3 linked regions of the Pelodiscus sinensis genome follow. The protein of the gene in region 1 interacts with the protein of each later gene in a biochemical or structural test. Links are inferred from orthologs where the notes say so. Each region holds a gene or a part of one and is shown on either strand. Other genes may lie near its edges.

Evidence for each region.
Region 2: the proteins of NOTCH1 (region 1) and MAML1 form a complex in vitro, tested with the Homo sapiens proteins (2 studies listed by BioGRID). The link is inferred for Pelodiscus sinensis from reciprocal best matches to the Homo sapiens genes NOTCH1 and MAML1.
Region 3: the proteins of NOTCH1 (region 1) and RBPJ form a complex in vitro, tested with the Homo sapiens proteins (5 studies listed by BioGRID and IntAct, with this or other methods). The link is inferred for Pelodiscus sinensis from reciprocal best matches to the Homo sapiens genes NOTCH1 and RBPJ.

The regions. Positions count from the first base shown.
Region 1 is NC_134732.1:20,255,678-20,263,018, forward strand, and holds the start of NOTCH1 (neurogenic locus notch homolog protein 1), read left to right. Parts: upstream 1-4,326; 5' UTR 4,327-4,551; coding exon 4,552-4,609; intron 4,610-7,341. UniProt on the Homo sapiens protein: Functions as a receptor for membrane-bound ligands Jagged-1 (JAG1), Jagged-2 (JAG2) and Delta-1 (DLL1) to regulate cell-fate determination.
Region 2 is NC_134727.1:34,213,635-34,220,999, forward strand, and holds the start of MAML1 (mastermind-like protein 1), read left to right. Parts: upstream 1-4,361; 5' UTR 4,362-5,973; coding exon 5,974-6,342; intron 6,343-7,365. UniProt on the Homo sapiens protein: Acts as a transcriptional coactivator for NOTCH proteins. Has been shown to amplify NOTCH-induced transcription of HES1. Enhances phosphorylation and proteolytic turnover of the NOTCH intracellular domain in the nucleus through interaction with CDK8.
Region 3 is NC_134715.1:101,460,302-101,467,881, reverse strand, and holds the start of RBPJ (recombining binding protein suppressor of hairless), read left to right. Parts: upstream 1-4,576; 5' UTR 4,577-4,873; coding exon of another isoform or gene 4,874-4,893; intron 4,894-7,580. UniProt on the Homo sapiens protein: Transcriptional regulator that plays a central role in Notch signaling, a signaling pathway involved in cell-cell communication that regulates a broad spectrum of cell-fate determinations.

The sequences.
Region 1 (7,341 bases):
GTCAGGCTGGTGAAGCACTGGAATAAATTGCCTCTGGAGGTTGTGGCATCTCCATCTGTGGTGATTTTTAAGAGCAGACAAACATCGGTCAGGGATGGTCTTGATTCTGAGTCCTGCCATGAGGGCAGGAGACTGCATTTGACCTCCCCAGGTTCCTTCCAGTTCTAGGACTCCATGATTTGGAGACAAAGGAGGGACAAAAGAGCTACAGCTGGCTCAGGACAATGCATCGGTCCTGTTTTCACTTGGACTCCCCTGAAATGATCGTCAGCCCATCGCATGGCGGAAATGCTTTGCTATCCGACCCTGCAGGCCCAACCCTGCCCCAGGATGCTTTCACAAGCTATCTTCATATATCATTGTTTGCGGTGGTGGATCTCATTGAAAGATTAGTGCCAGGTTGCAAACAGACAGAGCTGTACACTAGTGGGTTGAGCCCAGAGATGAGAGCCTATGCATCTTTCCTGACTTTGCCACTGACTTGCTGCATGACCTTGGGCGAATCCCTTGGGCCTTGCACACAGCGAGTTTTTCTTCCACATTTCCCACGGTTGCACTAGCCAGTGATGTGGGAGCAAAAGAGGAAGCACTAATGTAGACAAGGCACTGGTATTTTTGCCACCATCCAAGCAGGACTGAGCAACACAGTAGAAGGGGAGAGGGAACATGCGCATTCCCACCCTTGCCGGCACTGTTAGTACTACTTCACTGGTGGGCTGTGTCTACACTGGGCCACTTATTCCGGAAAATCAGCCGCTTTTCCAGAATAAGCTGCGAGCTCTCTACACTGGCCCTTGAATTTCCGGAAAAGCAACGACGCTCTACTGTACAAAATCAGCTGCTATTCCGGAAAAGCTACGCTGCTCCCGCTCGGGCATAAGTCCTTATTCCGGAACACTGTTCCGGAAAAGGGCCAGTGTAGACAGCCCAGTAGTCTTTTCCGGAAAAAAGCCCCGATCGCGAAAATGGCAATCGGGGCTCTTTTCCGGAAAAGCGCGTCTACATTGGCCACAGATGCTTTTCCGGAAAAAGGGCTTTTCTGGAAAAGCAGCCTGCCAATGTAGACGCTCTTTTTCCGGAAATACTTATAACGAAAACTATTCTGTTTTAAGCATTTCCGGAAATTCATGCCAGTGTAGACACAGCCATGGTGTAATAGTGGGACAGGTGAAGGGAAAAGTTCACTATAGAGACAGACTTTGGCCCACATTTTCAAACACAAGGGCCTCGAATTTAGGCACCTAGACAGATGGCTGGGACTGCATAATAATTGCTGAGAGGTGCTAAGGTGGGGCAGGACATGTGACTGAATTCAACTCTTAGTATCATCGTTAAATCCTACAGGTGATCACATTTAAGAACCCATCCTGCCCCAGACAGAAATCCTATTGACTCCAGAGACATCTCTCCCTTGGATGACCAGGGCCTGAGATGGGTTTGTTAGTGTAAGGGAGAGCTAGAGGAACAGGGTCCTCAGAATAAAATACAGAGGTAGCACTGGCACATGGCAGCAGCCAGAATTTAATGTTGCACTGGCTGAAAATTTACTCAACCTGGGTTTTTTTCCCCTCTGGCCTCTGGAGTTGGCTTCCAGGCCGTCTTTTATTTAATTAGCTGCTTTTTTATTTATTGTTGGCCAGAGTTTGGGTTGAAAGTTCAGAAGTTTACAGCACAAAGGAAATAAACAGGCAGGCCTCACTCGGTTTCTTCCCTCTGGTCCACGCATTCCCAATAGGCAGGCGCCTGGGGGTGAATACATCTTTGTTCGGATTGTTTTGGTCCTTCACTTCACTGTTTGTCACCTAGAGCATTCCAGGAGCAAAAGTCGACCACTCAGACAAGATCGGGGAGCCTCAAAGGTGGCTGAGATTGGGAGACTTAGAGGGGCAGTTTTTCCAAGGTTGACACAAAAGGTGGCTTCACAGATCTGTTTATTCACCTGTTGCATTTGCCAAACTTGGAGCTGCTCGCACTGCACCTGCAAAAATGCAGGTTGCATCCACGGAGCCTGTGAAAACGCAGCCCCTGGACAACTTAACAGACCTCTCCCCCCCCCCCCCCCCCCCCCCCCGACTGACTAGCCCAGTGTTTCTTAAACTTTTTGAGACCACGGAAAACCAAACAATAATACTTTTTATGCAGAACACCTATGAACACCAATTTGTTGTCAGACAAAAAAAGACAAAAACAAATAAGTAACAAAAACAAAGAAGAGTTGACGAGTTGTTCACGGACACCAGTGTTCCACGGAACATAGTTTAAGAAACACTGGACTAGCCCGTCAGCAAGGCAGGCAAACCTCCTGGCTCTCATAACAGCCCCCACCGAGTTACCTGCCCTGATAGGCAGCATGCACCAAGCAGGCTCTGGGAGGTGCAGGGGTTGAGTGCACATTTTTTGAGTGCATCCTTGTGCCTGTATTTGAATACTGTCCCAGATCCGTCACCCTGTCTGGCCCTCAGGGACTAGTCCCACAGACCTTGTGGGGGGCTCTACTTTCTTCCCACTCCAAGTAACTGATACACACACATACACAGACACACCCAGCCTCTAGCAGCACCCAGCTCCTGCCCCACACATACACAGACACACGTGCACACACACACACACACACACTCACTCAGACACACGCAGACATGCAGACTCACTCACAGACACACGTGTACACACGTGCGCACACACATGAACACTTAGACACATACACTCACACATTCTCACACACAGGCACATACACACGCGCTCTCACACAGACACATCATGCACAAACACTCACACACGCACAAACACACATACACACACAGATACACTCACTCTCACAGACACATCATGCACAAACACTCACACACACACACACACACTCACTCTCACAGACACGCATGTACACACACGTGCGCACACACTCTCACAGACACATACACACTCTCACACACGCAGACACACATTCACACAGACGCGTGTACACACATGTGCGCGCACACTCTCTCACACAAACACACGCAGACAGACACACACACACTCTCTCTCACACACCCAGACACACACACGCAGACAGACACACACACACACTCTCTCACACCCAGACTCACACACACACTCTCTCTCACACGCACACACACACACTCTCTCTCACACACCCAGACACACACACGCAGACAGACACACACACACACACACTCTCACACCCAGACTCACACACACACTCTCTCTCTCACACGCACACACACACACACACTCTCTCACACACCCAGACACACACACGCAGACAGACACACACACACACACACTCTCTCACACCCAGACTCACACACACACTCTCTCTCTCACACGCACACACACACTCTCTCACACACCCAGACACACACACACACTCTCTCTGTCACACGCAGACACACACACTCTCTCTCACACACACACACGCAGACACACACACTCTCTCTCTCTCACACCCAGACACGCACACACACTCTCTCTCACACACACACGCAGACAGACACACACTCTCTCTCACACCCAGACACACACACTCTCTCACACCCAGACACACACGCAGACAGACACACACACACACTCTCTCACACCCAGACTCACACACTCTCTCACACACCCAGACACACACACACACTCTCTCACACACACACGCAGACAGACACACACTCTCTCTCACACACACACACGCAGACAGACACACACTCTCTCTCACACACACACACGCAGACACACACACTCTCTCTCTCACACCCAAACACACACACACTCACACACACACACGCAGACAGACACACACTCTCTCTCTCACACGCAGACACACACACACACACTCTCTCTCACACCCAGACACACACCCAGACACACACACACACTCTCTCACACACACACGCAGACAGACACACACTCTCTCTCACACACACACACGCAGACAGACACACACTCTCTCTCACACACACACACGCAGACACACACACTCTCTCTCTCACACCCAAACACACACACACTCTCACACACACACACGCAGACAGACACACACTCTCTCTCTCACACGCAGACACACACACACACACTCTCTCTCACACCCAGACTCACACACACAAACACCCAACTTCCAGCAGCCTGGGAAAGGTCCCGACGCGGCGCAGCCCCCCCCGAGCGCAGGGGCTTGAGGACCAGCTGCCCAACCACTGTCCCGCCCCCTCGCAGCCCGGGGGCCGCTCCCCCCCCCCCGGCCGGGCGGCTGGCTGAGCTCGGGGCACCTGGGCGGAAGGACCAGGGGCGGGGGGCGGGGGGGGGGGGGAATGGGAGGAGAACGCGGCTCGGAGCCGCCGCCTCCTCCTCGCTCGGGGACTCGCAGCCCGAGCTCGCACGGCGCGCCGCGCTCTCCGCGTCTCTGCGCCCCGCGCCGTCCTCCCGCGGAGCGGATCTCGGGGGCCGCCTGAGCCTTTTGGGGGGGCGGGGCCCTGCACGCCCGCCGGCCGGCTGGGGGGGTCGATGCGGCTGTGAGAGGGGGGCCAGGAGCCGCGCCGCGAGAGCCGCCCGCGTGGAGCCCGGAGAGGAGGAATGCAGCTGCTTCTGGTGCAGAGCCTGCTGCTGTCCCTGCTGCCCGCGCTCAGCCGAGGTAGGGGCCGGCCGGGGGCCCGCGTGGGCTGGGGCAGAAGTGAGGGGCGCCCCTGGAGATGGAGCCGGGGAGTCCCTCGCTGGCGAAGGAGAAACTTTCCTCCCCCCTTTCTGTGTCCCGTCTTCCCCTGCCCGGCTCCGGTGCAGCCAGGCGCGGGGACAGGGGGCTTCCGAACCGGGCAGAGCTCCCTCCTGGCGGGGGCTTCCCTGAGAAGCCGGGGCTCAGCCTGAAGCGCAGGTGAACCCCTTTGCAAAGGGCTGCGGCTCGGCTCAGCTCAGGCTGACGGGGGGGGGGGGGAGTTGCCTTCTTATGTGGGGGGAGAGTTGCGTTCCGTGGGGCACTCGTTGTATGTGGTGCATTGCTCTCTGCCACCAGCTGCCCTCGGAGAGGGAATCCGTTTCCTCCCCGAGCCCTTGGATTTTAAAAGATCACAACCCACCTGAGAGGTGTGCGGCTGGCAGGGCGGGGAATCAAGTGTGTGTAACTCCCTCCGCTTAGAAACAATCCTGGGGAGCGGTGAAGTGTGTGTGTGAGAGAGAGAGAGAGAGAGAAAGTTCTCTTAAAACTTTATTCTCTAGAGATCTCCCGAGAGAAGCAAACCTTTAAAAGTTGCCACCACAGGGCTGGATAGCGTGACAGTTTTTGTGACACAAACTGTGTGTGTGTGTGTGTGTGTGTGTGTGTGACACAAACCGTGTGTGTGTGTGTGTGTGTGTGTGTGTGTGTGTGTGTGTGACACAAACCGTGTGTGTGTGTGTGTGTGTGTGTGTGTGTGTGTGTGTGACACAAACCGTGTGTGTGTGTGTGTGTGTGTGTGTGTGTGTGTGTGTGTGTGTGTGTGTGGAGGGGGTTACTTTGGAGAACTGATCTCAGGATACTGTGAATAGTGAAGGGGCTTTTTGGTATGAATTTCTTTTTCTGGGCAGTGGAATATTTCATGTTGCAAAGTTCAGAAAGTGACTCTTTTCCTTGTGTAAAAGTCTCCAAGGGGTGGCCGTGTTAGTCTGTAACTTTGAAAACAACTTTTAAAAAAGCAACAAGTAGCCCTGTGGCACCCTAGAGACTAGCAAACATGTATGTCTAGAGTCACTAGCCTTCGTGGGCAAAACCCACTTCTTCAGATAAGATGTGTTCTGTTAAAGGCTGGGGTATGTAATGAGCAAGCCGGAGATGGGCTGCTTTTTTTTTTATTTTTTGAGAGCCTTGTTAATTTTTTATTTCCTGTTTCTTGAATCTACGTCAGATTTCTTGTTCTCTCAGCCCTTCCTTGCAAGTTTGGGGGCGGATGTCAGAAGCCGTTTTGTTTCTTGTACACGGCAGTAACCTTTGGGGAAACAATCAAATGGAAACTTGTGTAGCAATTCTTCTTTTCGTCAAAAAGGCCCCAAAGTGAAAGATGCGCGAGTTTCACCTAGGTGAGAGGAAAGAGTAGGAAGATATTTTTTAAAAATAATCCCCTTAACATGGGGAGATAAGGTGATGATGAGTCTGCTTGAAAATGCACCACTTCCCTGCCTTAATCCTCACAGCACTGAAAAAATAAGCAACCAAAAACACTGCCTAAGAGTATAAATATGGGGGTAGCATTTAATCACGTGGGTAAAAAGTCTCAGCGCGGGGGAGCCATGTGAAGTCTGTAACTTTAGAAACAAGGACTAGGCCTGTGGCATTTTAGAGACCAACCAAAACAATGTGAGTCCTCTCACTAGCTTTGTAAGGCGGAAAAAGTGCAGCTCCTGTGTTTGGCTGCTAACTTGGATGAGTGGGTTGGCGTCTGCCACCCTGATTCCCACTGAAACCAGGGCCACTGATACAATCAAGGGAGGTTACTAGGGGAAAGCAGCCTGCGGGGAGGAAGCGGGGGGAGGTAAGAAATGAGTCCAGCCTGTATAGCCGTGTGCCATTCCTGCAGGCTGCTCTAGCATGTGCTTTAAAAAAAAAAAAAAGGGTGCCCGGTTGGATCTGTCCCCAATGATTTTTAAACAGAAGCGAGACAGAGGTTTTTATTCTGGAGCGTGCAGGCCAGGGAGTGCAGGACTAAGTATGGGGACCCCTATTGCTCTCTGCCTGGAGTTGCCTTCCGCTGTGTTCATCAGCGTTACACTATAAAGTCAAAAGGCTTAGTCATAGCAAGGGTGTCACCCAGCCTTCCTGGAAGAGCCCTGGGTAGGTACATTTGGGGCTGTCTGGTTTCACTTCACTTTGCATACGCGACCCAAAACTGGCTTCCTTCCCTCCTCCCCAAAGTAAAACAGGGCCGGGGGGCGGCTGGTTGACTCAATCAGATCTTTCAGGCAGCAGGTATTGAGTATCCAGGGCCGTACAGGATTGAGAGCTGCCCTACAGTAAATAATGCAACAAGCGTTTTACAATGGGTCGCTCTGATTTCCCCCTTTGTTAGCAGGCAAGGAAGGCTGTGCTCTGCAGCTGTCGCTTTTTCCCACGCGCAAGGAGGGGAGTGCGCGCCCATGGCTCTGTTCTCCCTCAGTAGGACAGTCTGTAGCCGCTTTTTGTCCTTTTTTTTCTTCCTTTTTTTTTTTTTTTTTTAAATCATGAATATCTGAACAGCCAGACAATTCAGCAGGAGTTTCAGGAGGGTTTTCTGTAGTCAGGACAGGAGCAGTATGTGGTGAGGGATGGGGGGGAGTGGGAAAGGATAGAAACTCTGCGAGCTGGCTGGGAACAAGGTTGGGAGCCGCCTCTGTAATCTGAACTTGTCTGCAGATAACTTG
Region 2 (7,365 bases), on another chromosome or scaffold:
ATCTGTGGATCTTTCTGCTCTCCCTTCCTGAAAAGGACTATCATCACAGACACCTCCCTTCTAGGCCGGGGTGTGCATATGGATGTACATATGACTTGGGAATAATAGAGCCCTCAGGAATCCAGAATCCACATCAACATGCCAGGCCTTTGTCTGCGGCATCTGTTCTCACTTTATTTTTTTGTTGGACATTACCACAATGGTGTGCTTACAGCTACATCAACAAACAGGCAAAAGGGCAACCACTGAAGTGCTGAGAAGCAAGTCACCCTTTGAAACTGGTGCATGCACCTCTAGATAATCTTTTCTGCAAGCTCTTCCCCCCCCCCCCCCCCCCCCCCCAGGAAACCTCAAGTGATTTGCAGAATTGCTCAGGAGACGGCTCATGATCAACTACATGTGGGAACTCTGCAACAACTTACTACAGGTCTCAACAAATGTGGACCTCTGACCACGGACTTCCTTTGCATCCTCTCTGAACGCATATTGCTTAAGTGGAGGTCTGGCTCAGCACTCTTGGCATTTATGCTCTCATCCTACCCTGTTCGGTTATGACCTCTTACCTTCTCTCCTGCTCCTACCTTGGGTACTACACCAAGATCAAATAGGAGAAAGCGACAGTCATCTTGATAGTCCCCCGCTAGCCCAGACGGTTTTGCTTTCTTAACCGTCACATGTCTTCATGCCCGTTTCCCCATTCCTTTCCTCAGTCTACCGATACAAACGTTCCATCAGCCATCCCACTCCATGGGTGCTTCCCCTCAGCATTGTATTTGGATGGGCATCATCTTGAATGTGTGTGTTCCTCACAAATACAAAATACCCTTTCCAGTGGCAAGAAGGACTCCACTAGGTGTAGGTACTGAGCCATATGGAGGCACTTTGCCTCCTGGGTGCAAAAGTCTTCCTCAGAAGGAGTTAGGGTTCCCATTGTCCTAGAGTATCTCTTGTCCTTTAAGGTTGCCAGGTCTTGCCCTTGGTTTTATCAAGATCTAACTAGCAGCAGTTAGTGCCTCTTTGCCCCCCAATGTTAAGGGCACTCAATCTTTACCCTCACATTGGCTGGCTGGCTAAATTTTGGAAGGGCCTCTAGAACTTTTCACACCTATACAATCCATTATCTCCAATGGGATCATAACCTGGCCCTATATACATGAACAAAACTGCCCTTTGAGTTGCAGATGTCATGCTCGTTGCCCCTCATTTTTTACGAAAGTTGTCTTCCTGATGGATTGTGTGTGAGTGGTTTGCAAGCTCAGGGCTGTGATAGTAGGCCACCTTTTCACAACACTGTGTGTGGATACTTTATCCATACATCTTCAACCCAAACTTTTGCCAAAGGTTATTTCCCAATTGCATGTTAATCATCCTGTTTTCTTACTGAAACTGCATGCATTGGAAGGGGAATGGAGACTCCACTAGCTAGATGCTGGGCCTTACCTTTTACTTTCCACAGATGAAACCAATCAGGAGAGTCTCCCAGGCTGCTTTTTTGTAATATTTGAAAGAATTAAGGGGTGGGTAGTCTCCATATGACAAGTGGATTTGGGGCTGCATTACAGTTTTATCAATTATCCAACCTCTAGCTAACCCACAAAGATGCAGGCCCTCTCATCAAAATCTTAGGCTTTGACCAGGGCCCTCCTTCCACTAAGTGCCACTAAGGGATATCATATGGAGGAGTTCTGTTCACACCTTTTGATATGCATTATGCATTGTAACAGGAATCCCCAACAGATGCCTTCTCCCTCACCTTTTCTCTTCCAATTGGGGTACTAACTAGAGCTCCTGAATGGACTACAATAGGAGACCATCTCTTTTGAAGAGATTACTTACCTGTATGTTGCAACTATGGGTTCTTTGAGATGTGTGGTCCCTGTTTGTATTCTACTTCATGCCCTCTTTCCCCTCTGCTGGGAATCTGTTGAAGTAGAGAAGGTGCAGGAGATGCATTTAGTCTACCCTGCTCTTTCTCACCTGTGACAAAACCCATGAGGTGAGTTCAGGTTGCATACATGAACCAAGAGACTACTAATTTTAAATTATCCAGCTCTGGATGAATAATATGCATATGTAAACATTCACTGGACTACAGATAGAGACCACACATCTTGAAGAACCTCTAGTTACAAGTAACCGACTCGGAGCTTAAATTTGGAGACTCAAATTTCTCAAACTTAATACCACATGAAACATTTTTCATTGGAGAAGAGCTGGATGAAGAGATTAGGATGTGAATTGAACTCTTTTGCCTCTTGATTCACCTTAGCTTGGGCTGTGTAACACACCCTCTCAAGACTATGCCTCCCATAATGTTCTTAGTAGTCTTGGTAGCAAGTATAAAATTTCTAAACTTCAGAACTTGTGAAAACCTGACTGGGGTAAGCCATTTGTAAGTTCCATGCTAATTAGAGACGAGTTTTTTTTTACTTGACTGTTTTTAGAAGCACCTGAGCTATCTGTCCTGCATAGCTATCAAAAATCTAAGACTAGGGGGTTACTGCTGGGTTTTGAATCAGTTTTTTTTCTTTCATCTGCTGCCACCAGTCTTGATAAATTTGCCACTACTGCTGCTAAGAGGGGTTAAGCTTAACAAGTTTTTGGAAGTTCTATTTTTTTTAAAACACCAATAAATTTAATATGCCCTTAATAAACAAAATCAGTATCTAGATACTTTGTCATCAATTTTACAAACCATATAACTGTATTCAGGTTGTGCCTGACTTGTTTAGTAACTTACTTTAGAAGAGGACTGGGATTTGGATCCACAACAACTCTGTCATAGTCCTTCGGTATTTTAATTGTATTACTGCAGCTGTGATTTCGATTATCAAGAATCTGTTCTTTTTGACCATAGTTGGTGGATTTTCTGAGGGTTGCTGTTTTTTCCCTTGTCAGTTTATTCTATAAATGTTGCTTTTTTAGGTTCATTATCGATTACTGCTCATGGTATTTTTTTGTCCTTATCCAGTTCATAATAATGCTGTTGCAGGAACCAGTAAGTACTCCTCTACCTTCTACTATGCATGGTTCTGGCTGATACTTTAATCTTAGTAAATTTAGTACTTTTGAAATCTCAAGAATTTTTGAATGTACACATGCTCCCATTTCAAGTGGCACACCAAATACAATACTTATCAAGTTTAAAAAACATTTGTCATGACAGTTTTCATAGGTCATCTGCACAATCTTGTATTACAACCCATAATCTAGTAAAACATATGGTATGAATAGTTCATTTCTGTACATTGCTAAAAGGTTTGTTCTCTGTATTCCCATACTGTAAATTCTTCTGACTCAACTTTGGAATACAGATTCCACTGTTCAGAGCTTCTTTTCAAGAAAAGTAGTATATAAATTCATAGATTCCAAGGCCTGAAGGGACCTTTGTGGTTATGTAGTCAGAGCTTTTTGTATAACAGAAGTGATAGAACTTCCTTGAAATAATTACTATATGGTTTTTAGAAAAACTTTAATCCTGATTTTAAACTTGCTAGTGTTATATTCTGTTACTACCTCTGGTAAATTATTCAGTGGTTGGTTATCCTCAGTTAAACACTTGCACGTTAACTGTATTAGTCTAGCTTCAGCTTCCAGCCAATGGATTGGATTATATACCCTTTTTTGCTGCTAGATTGAAGAGCCTATTGTAAAGTATTTCTCTGCAGTGGTACTTAAAAACTGCTCTATAGTAAATGAGCTTGGTGTCCTTTATTATGTTTTTTTCCTAGCCCATTAACCATTCTTATGACACCCTTATTCCAACATCTTATATGAATTGTAGACATCAGCACCAGTAATAACATTCCAGCAGTAGTTGTTTTCAGGCCAAATAGAAGTGTAATTTATTGCCCTTTTTTATGCACCTATGGATCACATTAGGGCCCCCCCCTCCTTTGCCACAATTATTGCAGAGGAGTTGATGTTAATTTGATAATCCACCATTACTCCCCCTCTTCTACCCCCCAACTTATTTCAGTTAAGGTAGAAAACTCTACCCTAAAAAGTACCATGCATTGTGATCTCGTTTTTGTTGGGCGCTTTTTTGGCCTTGATGTTCACTTTTACATTTAGTTATCTGAGAGTACATGCTTCTGTTTCACCTATTTTACCAACTGATCAAGATTGTTCTAGTAGTGCTCTCATCTTCCTTTTTTACTACTCTAATACTTGTGGAGTGGAACCTTATTACTGATTTTTGTGGAGGTGTGTGGGGTTTTTTTTTGGGGGGGGGGGGTCGTCCTGGAGCACTGATGAGTAGCATAGGGCAAACTGGTCAGTTGTTCCCTGTAACTTGTGCAAGTATGCAGGAGATTCCAGTTTTACCTGGCTGATGAGCAGTCTGCCCATAGGTGCACATTTGCACAAACAGGTGAGCTGACACTCGCTGGGTCCTTTAGCCAAGGTGGTTTGCAGAAGGGGGGGAGGGATTTGTGCTCCCAGAAGCAGCAGCAGCTTCCCCCTGGTGCTGTCTGGACCATGTCCCCTACTCAGCATCTCTGGAACATACTGGGCAGAGTTGTGCTGGTGATTTAAAGGGCCTGGGCCTCTGACCATCCAGCAGCAGCCAGGAGCTCTGGGCCCCTTTTATCCCTCACCCCCTTGGCAGGCCTGCACATGTAAAAAAGTATTCTTGATGTGGATGGCGAAAACTGCACAAGGATGAAAGACCGGTGCAAACACTGCCAATAAGGCTTTAGTAGAAACATACTAGAAGGGGCTTGAGTTCCTAGTTGAGACTAGGGATGTTAATCACCTAATGGAATAGTGGATGGAATTTGCATAAACTATTTGATTAGTCGATAAGGGTTGTTCTCTCTTTTGAAATGTAGCAAGAACCCTGCTGGCTCTTGCTACATTTAAAAGGCAGAAGCACCATAGTGAGCAGGGGCTCAAGCAGTTCCCTACTGGTCCTATGCTCCCTGCTTTTGAAAGGTGGAAGTTCCTCCAGTATCCTGTTGCACTTCTGCCCCTTCTCACCACCCCCCAGCTCCTGGAGGAGAACTGGCTTTTAAGCCAGCTCCTGCTTTTTTGCCTCCATCTCTTTTTCCTCTCCTCCCCAGAGAGGCAGCAAGGGCTTATAGCCCTAGTTGTGACCTTTTCCGGAGCCAGTTGTTACTAGTTAGTGCCTATACCTATGGCTGGGTTAGTCTAATTTTTTAAACATCTGCCTTAGTGGAACAGCGCTGTCTGTCATAGGCTTGAGTGTTTTATCAGCCGGTTTGGTTAATCCCCGCTTTTCCCCACCCAGTGGCCAGTTCTAGCCCACTTCCTTAGTTCTTCATTCATCAGGCCTGGACGCTGGGGGGGAAGGGATACCGGCCCTCTATTGGCCCGAGCAGGGACCACCGAATTGTCACTCACAGCTCCGCCCTTCGCTTCTCATTGGCTGTCTTCAACGTGCCCCCGCCTCTTCCTCGTCGATGCCTTTTAAATGCAGTGAAAGGGCACCGCCTACAGGATCGTCATTAGGCCCCGCCCCTGGTTCCTTCCTCGGGCAAGCTGGTGGGCTGGACAAGATGTCCGTCATCTCCCGCGGCGCCCTCCGTGCGCCTGACGTCAGACACCACCCAGGAAGCCCCGCCTAGTCAGTCTGAACTCGGCTCTTAAGGGGAAAAGCAGTTCCAAGATGGCGGCCGCGCGGCTAACAATGGGGAGTCCGGGCTGTGGGCCTCAGCGAGGCGGCCGCCGCGCCTGAGGGAAGTGGCGCGGGCTCCGGCCGGGCCGGGCTGAGGGGGGGGGAAGCGGCCGCGGGGCGAAGGAGGAAGTGGGGCGCGGGGAGCGGAGTCGGGCCGGGGCGTAAGAGGAGGAAGTGGGGGGGTGGGCGAGGCCTGAAGGGAGCCCGCTTGGGGAGGGGGCGAGGCCTCAGGGCAGCCTGGGGAGGGTTCGAGGGGAGCCCCGGTCTCGCCCTGGCCATGGTGGGGCCGGCGTGAGGAGCCGCTGAGCGGCAGCGGCCCCCTCGGTGCCCGGCCCATGGTGCTGCCCCCCTGCCCCATGGCGGAGTTCGTGGTGCCGCGGCACAGCGCGGTGATGGAGCGGCTCCGCCGGCGCATCGAGCTCTGCCGGCGGCACCACAGCGCCTGCGAGTCCCGCTACCAGGCCGTGTCCCCGGAGCGCCTGGAGCTGGAGCGACAGCAAACCTTCGCCCTGCACCAGCGCTGCCTGCAGGCCAAGGCCAAGCGGGCCGGGAAGCACCGCCAGCCTCCCCCGGCGCCGCCGCCGCCCGCCCCCCCTCCTCCGGCGGCTGGGGTTGCGGGCAGCGCCGACCGGGCTGGAGCCAACGGCCTGGACGCCGACGCCGCGAGCACCGAGCAGCACGGCCGCAGCAGCACCTTGATCGCGGTAAGGAGCAGCTGGTTCGCGAGGCGGGGTGGGTGAGACGGTGCCCAACTGGCAGAACTACTTCCTCCTCTGGGCTGGTCTAGGGGAGAGAGCCCCCCAGCCCTTACTGGCAGGAGTTCGTGTTAGGTCTCTGGGCAGTCCATACGAAAACTCCTCGCTTGGCTATTCCTGCCCTGACTGCCCTCGTCCGGTCCTGACACCGCAGGCAGAAGCCTAGCGACGGGGAGGGACAGGAGTAGTTTCTATTTAGAAAAATCACAGATGTTTTAGCAGCTTTGAACTGTGCTCCATGTAGCCGGGCTATTTATGGTTCTGGCTTATTGACCTATAGTTGTCTCTGTAAGAGCAACCCGGGGTAGTGCTTGTTCTGTGACTGTCATATTTTTTTGGAAGTGAACAAGAAGGGAGATGGGCGATACCACTGTTTACCATGGTTCTTGTTGATCGGTAGAGATGGTTCTGACTAACTAGAAGCTTTCTGCTTTTCAAAATAGTAACACCCAATAATACTACACCATCCTTGCAAAGAGCTAAATGAAGCTGTGCTCGACTGGCAGCTGATGATTTGCCACTTTTCCTGATAGATGTGAGCTAATCGTGACTGATACTCTGATCCCACTCTACCCATTTAAAAATAGTTCAGTCTTCAAAAGAGTAACCTCCTCTCTTCTCACTAGTATTATTGGGTGTGATGCTGTACTGTTAAATAAAGTATTATTTAACTTGTTTTGAGGTCTTGAGAATGCTCGGTATAATGTAGCTAAGGAGCAGGGAAATGTAGTGTAGCAGAACAACTATTTAAAAAGTAACCCACAGTCTTCATTGAAATAAAGGTTGTAAACTGTATCCTAAATTCCATAAAAACTGTTAAACTGAGGTCTTTTCAAGAAGCCTCTTGGCATTAATCAGTCGCCTTTCCAGTTATACACATACATAATCTAATTTTTACGTAAGATGAAATGGGTGGGAGAAATATTTACAAGGACCCATTTACGAATCTTTAATTCAAGGCACAGCCAAAAG
Region 3 (7,580 bases), on another chromosome or scaffold:
GAAGCTGTTCTTCACTACATTTTATTAGCATTAGCAAGCTGAAGATATCAGAGGGGTAGCCGTGTTAGTCTGAATCTGCAAAAGCAGCTTCTCCTCTCTTGGAATTCACACCTCCAGATCAGCTACTAGCAGTGGGCCTCATCCTCGGTGATTGGATCCACCTCGTCATCTCCAGCCTGATTCTGGCCTGCATATTTATACCTGCCCCTGGAAATTTCCACTACATGCATCTGATGAAGTGGGTCTTTGCCCACAAAAGCTTATGCTCCAACACTTCAGTTAGTCAAACATAATGTAAGCGGGGGAATGGTCCCGCTCTTGTGGGGAACTTTCCTGGCTTCTATACACCCCGGTGAAATGAACCAGCGAAAGGATCTGAGTCCCCGCTCCCACTTCCTTTACCCCACGGCTCCCTGATCCTGAGGGCTCCCCCTCCACTCTCCTGAGTAGCAGAGCCCTTGAAACCCCAACAAGGCTGGGCCCAGGTTTCCTGGGGCTTAACCCCTGACCTTGTAGTCACTAGGGGCAGGAGTTAGGGTGTCCCCACTCCGAAGTGCTCTCTTTACACTGCAGGCCTTCTTGGCCCAGTGATCACTTCATAAGGTTCAAAGCAAATACAATTTATTAAACATCAACTGATTAAAGAGAATAGAATAAGAAACAATGAGAATGGTTAAATGAGAACACACAGCCCTGCTCTGTAGCACAGGGACATCAAAACAGCAGTCTGCAGAGTTTAAGGACAGTCCACAGTCTCTTCCTTAGAAGCCCTGGAAGTGCTGCAAGGGGCTGCAGGCTGGACACGCTTGCACTGGCAGTGACCACACAGCCTCAGTCTCTAAGTGGCCAGACCCCTCTCCCAGTCCAGAGCCTTTCTCCACACTTTGCAGGTCCCAGTAGCTCACCACATCCAGCTGCAGGCTGTGCTGCTTGGCCAGTTCCAGCTCCTTGTGTTGCCTCTCTGTTCCTTTTGGCTTTCTGAGCACTGCCAGTCTGCTGCTCAACACAGGGTCTGCACTGCTTGGCCTGTCTGTGTCTGGTTCTGTCGCTGCAGGACTTCTTCTTGTACTCCTCTTTCAGCTCTCTGTCTTTGCAGGACCTCTTCTGCACACAGCTTGTTTGTTCAGAGACAGAGCCAGAACAATCCCCACTTACAACCTGTCAGTCAGGCTGAGCTGGAGTGTTGACTGCTTTCCATTGTCTCTGGGGTCTGTCAGTCTCATGAACCCTTCCCCTTCTGAAGCTGGTAAACCAAAAAACTCCCACAGAGTTTTAGTAAGGGGTAACAGTCCCCTTACAATAAGGTGCCACAGGACTCCTCGTCGCTCAAGTTGAAGATGCAGACCAAAAATTACATTACAAAGATGATGGAAAGTTTAGCAGGTCTGGTTGACATACTTACAAAAGACTGAAGTAGTGATAAACTCATTCTCATATTGGATATTTGTATTAATATTGGGGATTTGAGTGTGAAGCTAGATGGCTTATTGATGCTACAGAGGCAGAAAGCTGACGGGGTGAAAGAAGAGCTAGTTATGAACTTCCACACCAGTAGTCTGGAAAGTTAAATTGCACATTTAGGCCATGTCTACACTATGAGATAAGAGCAAATTTACTAAGGTCAGTTTTTTGTAGCACCTGATTTTGTCAAGGTCCATGTTCCTACTGTTCACATGAATTTGACACAATTCAAAGTAGCATGTCCACATGGGGGCTACTGTCAGTTTTGAGAGTTATGTATTCTGGTTAGCTATCCCACAGTTACTTCGCCCCTTGCATTCTGGGTTATGTTCCCAGTGTAAACTGGAACCAAAACTATGCAGTGAGTGCTTCTGGGGATATGTCGTCAGCATCTCATAGTGCACTCATCTCCTCCCCTTCACCCCACCACTTGAAAGCAGTGGTAAACAATCACTTCACACACTTTTTTCCCCTTGTTATCCACATATAGCACATAGCATGGACTCCATCATGGATTCTGTTGAGCATCAAAGCATTACGATAATCATATTACTCAGAGTGAGCCTTATCTTAGAGCATGTCCAGGGTCCGCTGGAGCGAGGAAGAATCTCGTCAGGCCATGAACATATTCTTTTGCAAAGCACTTGGGTTGAGCAACTGGAAATGCTGCCAACTTTCAATTCTCTGGACACATAGGGACATTGGTTCTGGTGCTATCGGAGAAGCACATAATGGTGGGATGGCATAGTTATGGGATGACTGGCAAGAGCTGCAAAACTTTTATATATGTAAGGTCACTCTCATGAAAGTTTGTATATGGCTTTCCCCCACCCTGAAGCACAAGAATACCAGAATGAGATCTGCTCTGACAGTGAAGTGAATGGCAATTGCCCTATGAAAGCTTGCAATGCCATACAGCTACCAGTCAGCTAGAAATCAATGTGGGGTGGGTAAGTGTGCTACTCAGGTGTGCTGCCTGCTCTGAAGTCTGCTAGCCAAACTGGAAATGAAATTCAAAATTTTCCAGTTCTTTTCCTGGTCACTTGGGGTATGTTTACACTAGCTCATTAATTCGAGCTAGATAGGCAAATCAGGCAACTGGAGTTGCAAATGAAGCCCAGGATTTAAATATCCCAGGCTTTATTTGCATGTTCCTGTCCGGACGCCATTTTTAAATCCCCCTTAGTTCGAACGAACTGCCTGCGGCTACACGCAACAGTTTAAAGTTAATACAAACTAAATTCTTAGTTTGGATTAACTGTTACTCCTCATGGAATGGAATGAGGTGTAACAGTTAATCCGAACTAAGGATTTATTTAAATCCTGGGCTTCATTTGCAACTCCGGTTGCCTGATTTGGCTACCTAGCTCGAATTAACGAGATAGTGTAGACATACCCTTGGAGAGCAGTAGAGTTGAAAGTCCTGGCCAGAGTGGACACTGTGGGGTACTATAGGATGCATGCTAGAAGCCAAAAACTATGGGGCTATGTCTACATTGGCGGGTTCTTGCACAAGAACACATCCACACTGCCATGTGCTTTTGCGCCAGAGCATCCATGGCAGTGTGGACGCTGTCTTGCGCAAAAAAGCTCTGATGGCCATTTTAGCCATAGGGCTTTCTTGTGCAAGAAGCCCCTGCCGTGTATCCACACTGCCCTGTTGCACAAGAGGGCTTACACTTGTTAGAAAAGAGCGTAACTCTTCTGACACCATACTGTAAATCTTCTTGCACAAGAGCAGGTGGGCAGTGTGGATGCTCTGAGGGTTCTTGCACAAGAACCCGCCAGTGTAGACATAGCCTGACAGGGGTGGCCAACCTGTAGCTCCAGAGCCACATGTGTCTCTTCAGAAGATAATATGGGACTCCTTTCATAGGTACCAAATCCAGTGCTGGAGCTGCAAGTGCCAACTTTCCACTGGTCCAGAGGCTGTTCAATCCCCAACTCTGCCCTAGGTGCTGTCCCCCTCTGCCCTTTTCTCCTAGGATCCTGCCACTTCCCACATTCTCCACTGAACCTGTCACACCCATGCTTCTCCCCTCCAGTGTCTCCCATTCAGAAAGAGCTGATCACAGTGGGCAGGAACAGGCTCTGATCAGTGGGAGTGGGGGGATGTGCTGACAGTGGTGGTGAGGACATGATCAGGGCTGGTGACATATAACTGCTCTTTGGCAATGTGTATTAGAAAATTCTGGCTCCTTCTCAAGTTTAGATTAGTCATGCCTGAACTACGACTTTCTCAGCATTGTGTCTGAACTACCATAAAGTTGACCATGCAAGGTCAAATTTAGTGTCATTCTAAGCAGGAGTTCCAAAATTGACCTTAACTGCACTTAAAGTCAACAGAATTGGGATGGGCATAGTGGTTTCACTGTTTAGCAAATCAACCTAAGACAGTCAAATTGACATAAGCTCCCAGCTTACACCCGGCCTTAGTTTTGCAAATGACCTTTCTGATTGCTAAATGCCCAGCTCAGGGCCTCAAATCAGAATTTTCCCTTTTCTGTTAAATCACTAGTGCCAAGGAATTGTCAGGAGTGGACAATGTAATACCCTGGTACTGACATTGCTTCTCTTGCCAGCTCTCTACCTTTTTCAGTGCAGCCAAAATGCAGTTGCGAAGGGGCCCCCAACCCTGGGATTTCTCTACCTGTGTCTGTAAACAAGCGGGGAGACAGCCCCCCCCCTCCCCGGGTGGGCTCGCAGAGGTGGGGGTGAGGAAGGACGCACAACCCCTGCCAGGCAGGGCGCTTGAGGGCGTCCCTACAGCAGGGTACGGAGCCGGCGGGCAGGGGAGACGAGGGCTGCGAAGCGCGGGACAGCAGCGGCTAACCGGCCACCAGCGTGCGACCCCCAAGGCGGGGAGGCGGCCCGGGCCGCTCCGCGGAGAGGGCAGCGCTGGAAGGCAGCGATCGCTCGCTCGCTGGCTGGCGCGGGCCGGGGCCGCTCAGCACTCCGGGGCGCGCTGCGTGTCGGCCACGGGCAGAGGAGCGCCTGGGGGACGGATCCTGGCTGCCCCACCCGAATGGTCCCTCCCACCCCTCTCCCGCGCGTGGTTTGTTCCTCCTCGGCTCAAGGAGACTCCGAAACAAACACTCCCAGCGCAGCGCGGCCGCGAAGGAGTCCCCCACCCTTTGCCTTCCCTTCGCTCTCGCGAGACTAGTCCAGCTTCTCCCTTAGCGCCCAGCAGGCCGCTGCTAGAGTTCTCGCGAGTTTTGGGCAGGTTCCCACGCCTGTTGCCGCTGTTGTGTCTGAAGGGAGAACCCGGGAATGAGGGGGTGGCGCGCTTCCCCCACTCTCTCCGCTCCGCGACCGCGTGTGTGTCTCACGGGCCCGTGCACGCGCGCACTCGGCCTGGGCTGGAGGAGGCAGCTCTCGCGAGAGTAGGAGTTTTGGCGAGAGTTTGTGGAAGATGGCGCCTGTTGTGACAGGGTAAGTGCGGGGGTTTCGCAGCGCCGGGCCGGGAGCGATTCCGTTCCGCGCTCACCGGCGGCCACGCTGGGCTTGCTGCTTCCCAGTTCTCCTTCCGGGGATGCGGGAGCAACTAGCCGGGCGGCCCGGCGGAGGCCCCGAGACTCGGACCCAGGGGGGTTGGGACCCCCAGGTGGCTGCATCAGGGAAGGCCCCCGGGCCATAGGCCGGGATCCTGAGGCGCATAGTGTGGGGTGGGGTGGGCCGCCCTTCCCAAATCCTGCGTGGGACGTGGGGGAGCCTTCGTGCCGGACACCCCCCTTTCCGAGGTGAATGCCTTTCGTGGGGTCGGAGCACCCTTAGCCACCGGCCCGGGGGCACTAGACAAAGGCTCTTGTCTCGCTGAGGGGAAGCTGAGTGCTGCTTCCCCTCCTTCGTAGTCGAGGGGGGCAGAGCACCTCCGTCGTCAGTCACCGGGCTGCGCTGAACTCACCAGGCGCTAGGTCCCATCAGTAGGACAAGCCTTTCCCCAAGCAAATCTCCTGCTCCCTTTCAGGAGTGGGTGGAAGTTCCCGTTTCCCTCTGCCTGTTCACCGTTCTTGGGGTTACAAGTGACTATCGGTGCCAGCAGAAGAGGAGAAGCCTTTCCCACTCCAGCTGCTCCTCATTGAGTCACAATAAAGACTAGCTGCCATCCTTATCAGCGCCACTGGGCCATACGGAATAATGACCTTCCACCTGTAATCTGTGTGATGTTAATCAGTGGCATATGACTAATCAGCTTTTGTTAGGTAATAATGGTAGACTCACCATAGTGGTACAGTGCATCAGCAGTCGTTTTACACATCTCTGCTACATCTTGAGTTACACTGCACATAGCAGGCATCATTCTCCACTCTTGGGTCACACTGTATAGTTTCATCCACTCCTCTGAATACATAGTGACTCTTGAGGAATGGGGCTACATGTACAATAGCAGGCCTTGTCTGCTCGCACCCTGATAGTACAAAACAAATTCCTGATGGGTCTTAATATTGTTGAACATCTTGACATGGTGGACTTAATTTGATATTTTTACAGTGATTGTCAAAGACACGCAGAATACTCTTTTACTCTTTTTCCTTGTTGAGATTACTCTGTCTCCAAACATGGCTATTTGGTTAGAGAGACTAGCATCCTGCCTTTGCTTTTTTTTTGGGGGGGGGGGGGGGGGGGGGAATATTGATAGTTGTTTTTGTTTTCTTGAGAAAAGTGGCATTATAGTATTTTTCTTGTTTCATTTTGGCCTCAGTGGTTGTTCCATTTTTGTTTCTTGGTTGTTGAGAACAAGATCTAAACTGCTGCCTTGGAGGTTGCCTGGTTTCTTTCATGTTCAAATGGAGCTTGCTTCTGCTGTGTTTTTTTCCCCCCCTAATACACATTCTTTAAGGCAGCAGGTGTTTGTTATGGTTTCTGTCTGGAACTATTTAGAATTGTAAGGATGAGGGAACAAGACGAAAAGTGCTTTAAAATGTTGCTTTAAATACTGCTGGGGTGGTTATGTATTAATTTTATTTCAGTTTATTTTCTTTTCATTTAATTTTCTGATCATTTGACAATTATATCCTTTGCTCGTTGATTATCAAAGTGCTGTCTAATGTTCTCAGGTTTGTGTCATCCTGTGTCTTAGGATATATATGCTACATTTTCACTAATTCATAAGCCAAATCCATAATGAAGTTTCTTATGAATTACAAAATCATGCTAACAGTAGAAGAAAGGCTTGTGCTTTAACACGAAAGGAGAAAAGTGTGCTGGAGGATTCTAAAGCCAGCTCCTCATGGGCATCGACTCCCCCCTCCCCCCCCCCGCCTCTTGCTTGTCAGTTAATTGTTTACTTGACTGTATGCTCACATCCCTACTCAAAACATGCATAATTTTAGTAATTCCTATTAAAGACTGGAATTCCTTGTCATTCCCTGTGACCCTGCATCAGAGTACTTACTGACGGTCAGAGTTGATAAATAAGACCCTGACTTATTTATTATTATGGATGATTGCTTCAAACATTTTGTATCACATAGGTAAGCTATAAAAGACATGTTAAGATTTATTATCAGGTGTGGCATTATTAAATTGACCTGCTGTCTGGTTGGTAGAACCTTGTTAAATCAGATGGCTACATTTTGACAGGTATAGTTTTAGTTTGCCACATAGATATTTAATGTTATAAAGGAGAATGAGCCAACTGGGATTTTGTCAGCTTTATCAGGTTCATGGATTAGTAATATTATATCTTAGTTTTGGATTAACAATGTTATATCCACAGTGAAAACAGTATGTTAAAATCTGATGACATTTAATAAGTGAAAATTTTTCATAAAGTACTGTAATAATTAAGAAACTTCCAATGATTCTAGTGTAAATCAGTCTCTCTCTCAAGTTTTAGAGAATAGCGGAGAAAACAGTTTGAAATTCAAAGTCTTTCTAGAATTAATAAATTCAAGAATATAGTTAATTACATTTTGCACTCATTTTCAGTGGTGGTATGCAATTTTTATTCACATTGAGATTGCTAGACAAAGTGTGTAAGTGAATGTTTGCGAATCAAACACAAGTTGAATGAATGCCTTTTTATAGAACCAGTCTTTCTGTGAAAACTCTGACTGCTAAAACTTAAATTACAGTAATACATCTATTCACTTGTGCCAGTAACCTGTTCATCAAAT